Linked DNA regions of Rattus norvegicus. The protein of the gene in region 1 purifies or fractionates together with the protein of each later gene. This does not show direct contact. Links are inferred from orthologs where the notes say so. Each region holds a gene or a part of one and is shown in the gene's direction. Other genes may lie near its edges. The genes, in order: Erbb3 and Grb2.

Region 1 (4,363 bases):
TTATATATGAGTACAGTGTCAACTGTCTTCAGGCATAGCAGAAGAGGGCATCAGATCCCATTACAGATGGTTGTGAGCCAGCCTGTGGTTGCTGGGGATTGAACTCAGGACCTCTGGAAAAGCAGTCAGTGCTCTTGCTTTTAATAGTGTAACTGTTACATAGCAGGTCCAGGAAAGGCCAAGGGTGGATAGGCACACCCACGCAATAGCAAGTTTAAAGAATCGTTGCAAGAGGGCAAGGGATGGGGCACGTGGAGAGATGGTTCAGTGTTTGGGAGCACTTGTTCTTCCAAAGAACTAGGGTTTCTTACCCAGACCCACATGACAGCTCACAACAATTTGTAACTCCAGTTACCAGGGATTCAACCAACAACTTCTGGCCACCACAGATACCTAAATGTGTTTGCAGAGAAAGTCTGGTAACTTGAATTCCATCTCCCAACCCGTGTAAAAATGGAAAGAGATAATCAAGTGCCCCTAAAGTCGTCTTCCGGCTTCCGTACACATATCGTAGCAGAAACAAGTACGAACGATCATGCATACAGGAATAATAACAAATTAAAAAAAATTGTAGCAGGAGAGTGGGGACATGGCGCACTTGGGAGGTGGAAGCAGAAAGATCGACCATTCAGAGTTCAACACCAGTGTCAGTCACATAATATACTCGAGGCCAGCCTGAGCTCTATGAGCTATATGAGACCTTGTTTCAAAACCAAAAAAAAAAAATAAACAAAAGAAAAGAAAAGATTGTAGTCCATAGTCTTCGCCCAGGGGGAGGGGACAATAAATTCTCAAAATCTTGGAATGCCAATGTAAGGGTTGCGAAATGCAAGGGGTTGGGCACCAGGGGGCGCCAGTCGGACCCGTCCGGGACCCAGCAACCCTGGGTCCCGTGGGCCATGTGCGGTGACTTCTCCGCTCCCCTCCTCACTGTCGTCTCCCAGTGTGAGCGTTGCTGTGCCCTTTTGGGTCCGCGGAGGAGAGGCGGGAACCGCGGCCGCCCGGACGGCGCGGTCGGTCCCTCGGAGACAGCTGTTCTCTCGGGCGGCCGTGGGGGGCAGCAGAGGGGACGGCGACAGGTGCGGGAGCCCCTCCCCGGGCTGAAGTGGGAAGGCGGACTCCCCGGTCTGTTCCCAGGCTGGAAACCGCCCCCGCCCCCCAGGCAAATCCCCCCAGAGGCCGAGCCGGCGCCGGGTCTGCCGGAGGAAGCGGCCGGAGACAGTGCAATTTCACGCGGTCTCCGGGGCTCGGGTTCCCGAGCTGGGTACATGAGTTACGGGGCTTTGCGTCCCGGGGAAACTGAGGTGGCATGAACGCTAGGCTAAAAAACAACCTCCCACTCGAAAAAACTGAAATACTCACACTACGAAAGAAGGAAAAAAAAAATCCCTCAAGTGATCCAACCGGCTAGGGGAGTTGAGTGATTTGGTTAATGGGCGAGGCCAGCTTTCTGGGGGCTGGGCTTCGGAGCGCTCTCCTTACCCGCAGTCACTACCTTTCCCCGGCCTGGGGTCGTTTGGAATCTTGATCTCCTCTGAACCATCTCCGGAGGGAATTGCTGGAGTAAGACCCCTCCTTGACCCTCTTGGCCAGGCTGCGGGCTGGCGGAGCACCTTTGGGCGGGTGTCCCGGGCTACAACCATCAGGACTTCAGCCTCGCACGGGAGGGGGCGCGGCCGTGACTCACCCCCTTCCCCCTTCGCTCCGTCCCTCCCTCCCAGACAGACACCCTCCCCTGCCGCCCCGCTCCGGACTCTGACTCCGGCTCCAGTTGCAGTTTGCAACCTCCGCTGCGGCCGCAGCTACCTATTCGCTGGCTGTTCAGGTGGCTTTCGCTTCGATGTCCTCCTAATCTTGGGGCCCCCGGGCCAGACTCGGCAGGGCTCCCTTCACCATCCGCTGGAATCATGAGGGCGACTGGGACTCTGCAGGTGCTGTGCTTCCTTCTCAGCCTGGCCCGGGGTTCCGAGATGGGCAACTCTCAGGCAGGTAAGCCGCGCGGGAGCCCCAGAAGTCTGGAAGCTGGGAGCGTGTGACCTGAACGCTCGCAGACCCTGGGCAAGGAGTTCGGGCACTGACTCTTTGAACTGGGGAGTGTGTGTGGGGGGGGGGTGCGACACCGGGTCTGCTCGCACCACCAAGGAGGGGGCCGTGTGCCTCGGTTCTTGGAGTGGAGCTTTCTGGGGGCTGGGACTGCATTCCTGGATGCCTACCCTTCTTCCCAGGGCGTCGCTGACCCTCTAATTGGTCTTATTCTGATTTGGTTAATGAAGAACAGTAGATTCACACTTGAGAGCCTTGGGAGGAGGGCGGGCAGGGACCCTTCTGTAAACGTAAGGAGCCTTGACTTGAAGGGTCTCAGTTTGTTCTCAGGTTCCCTGGCCCCCACCCCATCCCAGGTTTCAACAACCCCCCAGTTTCGTTGTTTTGCTGACAGGGCGGGGCTATGCAAGGGTTGGAAGTTGTTGTTTTCTAATGTTGGAAAAACAAGAGTGGCACCTCCTCTTCCGTGAGTGGGGCTGTCCTGAGAAGGCTGAGATTAACCTGAGGGCCAAGTCCAGGTGACATCAGTGAGAGGTCTCACAGAGCTGGCTGCCTGCTTTCCCATAAGATAAGCCGGTCCCCCAACTTAACCAACGTCTCTTTATCAAGACCCAGGTCAATTCAGTTAACATGTTGGGCATCTATTACACACTACACTATTTCCAGGGTATTATACCCTATTCTGGGGCTGTGGGGAAAAAGACAATCAGACCTATTTCTCTCTCCAATCTGAGGTCACTTCTCCCACCTTCTGAACATTCTATTCTGTGAACTGGCTCCCAGACCCAACTTGTGCCCTCCCCCCATTCGGTGCCATATGAGCCCTTTCCTACGGGTGTCTCTGGGACTACAGACACCTGAAGAACACCGGAGTTGGTATAATTAGAGTCCTGTTGATCTTGCTCCCCCCACCCCACCCCAAGATCTCTGCTTGGGGGTTGGCACAGTCAGTGCCCCTTCCGCAGAGTGGGAGTGGGAGAAACCACCTGTGCTTCCCCCACAGTTGCTGGGCCTAAATTTAGCCCCTGGGATCTTGAGATGTGAACACTCCCAGCTGGTGGAGGGGGTGGTCTGGGACTGGGGGGAGGGCCAGGGGAGTGACTGGAACACAGTTCCATCTGACTGCCCCCACCAACCAGAACCCAAGAGTCCGGGACTCCCACCACCCTCCTCAAGAGGCAGGGAGCAGGCATGCTTGCTTGTCTACCCTTTATCTTCCTCCTGAGCCTCTGGGCATCCGGCCCTGTCTCAAGCCTTGTATAGCCCCTTTGTCCCCTTGTGTATGTGGCAATAGAGGGGAGGCATCTGAGGGGCTGGAGGCTCTTGGTCTGTGCAGTCAATACTCTCTACAGAGAAAGGCTCCGACTTTGATCCTTTGCTCCTCTGTGAGCGTTGTCCACCCTACCCCCACCCGGTATTTTTCACTGCTTCCTTGCCGTGATCCCCAGGTTGCTTGGTCCCTCCTGGGTGGTTGTTTATGCTCCCGTCCTGTCCGCCTGCGCCCTTTGCCCCTGTTTGTGGGATCTGGACTTTACCCTCAGGGTGGCAGGTAACTGAGCCCTGTAGGGCTTTGCAAAGCACAAGACACAAAGTGTGCAAGGCATTGTGGGCAGGCAGGATGGACTGGCCCCTTGTAATGCTTCTGAGTATGGGTTCCAGGGCAAACACTATCTATTTCTGTGCCAGGGTAACTGTGTACATGTTTGTGTGTCAGTCGTACATGTGTGACACTACGCACGCACGCACAGGTACACATCACTTCCCTGTGCAGATATCCTAGCTCCTCCCCTATCTGAGAAGGGTTGGCACCTTAACTTGGAAGAGGGGTGTCCTGCCAGGAAGGGGACAGGGGTGGGGCTGTTCCAGAAATGACTAACCTTCCTAGTCTTTTATTTCAGCCCAAGGACCCTGGAGTTCCCAGGTTCCTCTGGGAGCTTCTAGCTTCTTGCTGGAACTGGCCCACTCTTTCCATCATGGAGAGAGGATAGGGAAGATGATCTAGAAGGGGTCAAACTAGACATGTACCTAACAAGAGAAACTGGGCTTTCTGACTCTCTCTCTCTCTCTCTCTCTCTCTCTCTCTCTCTCTCTCTCTCTCTCTCTCTCTCCCTGCCCCGCCTCAGGGAAGGGTGGTTAGAACAGGTGGTGTACCCCTTACCCCCACCCTCCTCTCCATGTGCTTTTACTGCACCACAGGAAAGAGCTCCAGGGAAGACAGTGAAAGCCCAAGAACTGAAATGGCCTCTCCTCTGGGCTCTCTCCTGGAGTGCCTACTGGGGAACACTGCCATGTTAGCAGTCTCTTTAAAGAATCCTTCTGA
Region 2 (3,807 bases), on another chromosome or scaffold:
CGGTGGGCTCCATTCCCACTTTGAGCTCTACAGAAGGAAGTTGAACACTCAGGAGCCTTTCTCCAGGTCACACTGCTGTGAAGGCCACCTCTTCTGATTGTTTCTGCACTTCCCACTCTGGATCTGCCACACGGTCTAATAATGCACACGGTGCTTAGTGTGGTGCCTCCAGGCAACGAGGCCAGCCCTCCCCCACCTCCTTTGTTTGGAGAGGAAGAGGACAGTTATACACTGACCGTCAGCCACCTAGCGATGCACTTGGGTCCAATGAAACCAGCCACAGTGGCTGTGCTGTAGTGCGCGTCGTGCGTGCCCGGCAGATGACACACAGGTTTCATAGTAAGTGACCTGCAGTTTAGCACCCAGCACCACATAAAACCAGGCATGGTGGGACACAGCTGTGCATGATAGCCATAATGAAATAATGATTTGTCACTGATAGGCAGACGGTCTGGTACTGTTGGGGTTATCATGTGCATATGAAAGGATTTCAGATCCATGAGGTAAGGTAGGACAGTCTCACTGTGTAGCTCTGGCTGTCCTGAAACTATGTAGACGAGGCTGACTTCGAACCACAGAGCCTTTGTCTGCCTCCTGGGTGCTGGGAATAAAGGGACACCACAACCACAACCTAGAGTCTACTTCCTCACAGTCCAGCTTCCCTCTGTGCTGTCGCAGACTCCACACCTCCAAGTCAGATGTCAGCCAGCCAGCCCTGCACTCCTGTTATGATGAAATGGCTTCCAAGGGCCTGTCTTCCCCTCTGCCCTTATCCTGGGTATCTGGGCTTCCCTAGGTACCACCTGATGAGTGAGGGAGAGGCAGGGCAGCTTTGGCCTTGGGCACTGGCTTTCAGACTGCATGTTAGGAGTGGTCTCCTTGTAGCCTGAAGAGTGGCCCTTGTTGCTGCCTTGAATCATGATCTGTAGAGTGGAGTGGGTGAAGCTGTTTGAAAGCTCTGTCACTCAGGAAGGCCCTGAGCCAAACAGTAGCCCCAGAGCCTTAGGCAAGAGGCCAGCAGGTAATGCTCTGCCCTGCTCTGCCCTCCCTCCTTCTCTCCGACAGAAGTGTCCCCATGTACATGCCAGGTTGTGCATCCCACCCAGTTCTCTGTGGGGAGGCAGATGTTGACTGGCTTGCCTTCCTTCCTTAGGTGGTTTTTTGGCAAAATCCCCAGAGCAAAGGCAGAAGAAATGCTTAGCAAACAGCGGCATGACGGGGCCTTCCTGATCCGAGAGAGCGAGAGCGCTCCTGGGGATTTCTCCCTGTCAGTCAAGTAAGTATTTCCTGCTGGAGCTGCCAGAGAAGCTGCAGCCATTGACTGGATTGTAAGGCTGCTGGGAAGATGTTAACCTGTCTTTTCCTGTGGACATCCTAGTGTTTGCTCTAACCTAGTTGTAGCAGATCCGAGCTTTAGGTTTGCAGTGTCATGAACCTATGGGAACTGACAGCACCCAGGGCCAGTTTAATCTGCACCACTTCTCATCCCGCCTGCCTTCACTGCTCACCTGGACCCGACACTTGGTTTCCATGAGCCTAGTGGGTGTCCTCTCAAAAATCCAAACAGGAGTTGGCCTCTAAGCTAGCACGTGAGAAGCAAAGACAGCTGGATCTCTGTGACTTCCAAGCCAGCCAGAGTTAGACATCTGACCGATCCTCCCCTTCTAGTTACTGTGTCACTGCAGAAGCCTACCCCAAAACTCTTCAGTCACAGACTCTTCTCTGCACCCCAGGCTGTCCAGGAACTTGCTGGGTAGCAGAAACTCGTCAAATGGATGGCAGTTCGCCTGTCTCAGTCTCCTGAGTACTGGGCTTACAGGCATGGCCAGCTGTTCCCTCCTCCTCATTATTAATCTGTAACGAGGTGAGGGAGCCCAGTGTCTTTGACTCCGAGCCAGGGAAGAGGAGGACAGACTGTCAGGAGTCTGCTTGCTTTCTCTGCTGTCTTGTGGGGTCTGAGGTTTAAACCCCACCTTGTCGGGTCTGAGCAGAAGGCCTCACTGAGTCACCCCACTAGTCCTGGCTTTTTTTGTCTTTTAAATACACCAACCAGGGTCTCAATGTAGAGCTCACTGTAGTACATTGAAGGCCCTGGCTTCTATCACTAGCACCACGATTAATGAGTGAAGGAGTGCACTCCTTCAGACCAGCCTTGAACTCCGAGTCCTGTGCCTTCACTTCCCTGTCATGGAAAGGAATGACAGGCCTTAAGCTCTGGGCACCAGAACCAAGCTGTGTTCTGTGTCTGAATGCAGAGGTGAGAGCTTTGGGTGAGCTTTGATACCTCAGAAGGTTTGCATACTTTTCTGTTTTGCTTTGTAAGACAGGATTTTTCTCTGTGTAGTCCTGGCTGTCCTGGAACTTTTATCTATAGACCAGGCTTGCCTCAAACTTTTTTTTTTCAACTGAGTATGATAACAGTTTCTTCTTATAACTAGGTTTGGGGTTTTTTTTTTTTTACATTTTTGATTAAACACATGTAAGTAAGGGTCATACAGAGTCTTGGTTTGTAGAATTAGCATTTTTAGACTTCTCAGTAGCTTGTATGTCTTTCCTTTGCCTGAACTGCTCCAAGTAGCAGTAAAACAGCTCAGGAAGGGGAGACAATGATTAGACAGTCGGGAGTGGCCAGGCCCCTGGGCAGTGCTGGGCTGGAGACCGGCCTGTGTTCAGCACCACCACCTCTACCCGAGCACCTGCAGGAAGGCCAGCTATGCCGTCCATGAAAGACAGCCTTGCAGGGATGGAGACCCAGGGCAGAGATAGAAATGCCTGATTAGCACAGTGAGTCCTAGGTTCCATCTCTAGCACAAGCACTGCCAACAACTGAGTGTAGTCTCAGCACTTAGGAGCTTGAAGCAGGAGGATTATACATTCTGGGTCATCCTTGGCTACATAGTGAGCTCAAAATCAGCCTGAGCTAACTGAGACCCTGGCTGATGACATGGCTCAGTGGGTAAAGGCACTTGTTATCTAGCCAGGTGACCTGTGTTTTGAGTCTCAGGAGTCCCTCTGACCGTGCCTGTGCCTACCACACATGCATATCTAGAAAATGTGGTTTTTAAAGTTAAACAGAAAACATTTAAAGATGTTAGTAAGCCATCACTTTAGGAATAAAATGTCCGGGGTGGATGACTCAGTTGGTAACTACCACGCAGACAAGAGGACCTGAGTGAGGATCCACAGTGCAGAAGTTATAGAGAGAGGAGATCCCTGGAGCTGCGGCCGGCCAGCCTAGTGTAATCAGTGAGCTCCAGGTCCAGTGAGAGACATACTGCAGACATCCAGCATTGACGTTAGGTTTCCACATACATGCACATGCATTCATACCCATACCCACACACGCACACAAGGATAGCATGAACTACCTACTGCCTTTAGTGAAGCACCTACACAGGTCCTTCGATCAGCACCAGACTTAACTAAGCTAGTACACTGGTTTCCAGGTCTGCAGAGCCTGGCGGGAAGGTCGTGGTAGGAGTGACCCTGCACTCCGGAAGCAGGTGCATCACAAAAGGCCCTTGGGCCTTTGGAGCCAGACAGGAAGGACCTTTGGATTCTGAGCCACAGTCCTTTTGAAACCACCTCCATTGCTTCTCAGTGGAGACATGAGGAAGTGGACAGCCACTTCAGGCTTGCTTTCCTCCATCAGTTACCACAGGCCAGCTGGAAATTCCAGCAATAACTCCTGGACTGTAGATAACTTTTATGATGGCATATTGTTGTGATTGTTTCAGTGAAAATAAACTTTATCAGATTATGTGTGTCTATAGGGGAAAACAGTGCATCTGGAGTTTGGTATCTGGT

What was found.
Region 2: the proteins of Erbb3 (region 1) and Grb2 purify together in Homo sapiens (affinity purification with mass spectrometry; 3 studies listed by BioGRID and IntAct, with this or other methods). This does not show direct contact. The link is inferred for Rattus norvegicus from reciprocal best matches to the Homo sapiens genes ERBB3 and GRB2.

The regions. Positions count from the first base shown.
Region 1 is NC_086025.1:1,597,458-1,601,820, reverse strand, and holds the start of Erbb3 (receptor tyrosine-protein kinase erbB-3), read left to right. Parts: upstream 1-1,441; 5' UTR 1,442-1,563; intron 1,564-1,721; 5' UTR 1,722-1,907; coding exon 1,908-1,989; intron 1,990-4,148; exon of another isoform or gene 4,149-4,363. UniProt on the Homo sapiens protein: Tyrosine-protein kinase that plays an essential role as cell surface receptor for neuregulins.
Region 2 is NC_086028.1:101,385,431-101,389,237, reverse strand, and holds part of Grb2 (growth factor receptor-bound protein 2), read left to right. Parts: intron 1-1,153; coding exon 1,154-1,276; intron 1,277-3,807. UniProt on the Homo sapiens protein: Non-enzymatic adapter protein that plays a pivotal role in precisely regulated signaling cascades from cell surface receptors to cellular responses, including signaling transduction and gene expression.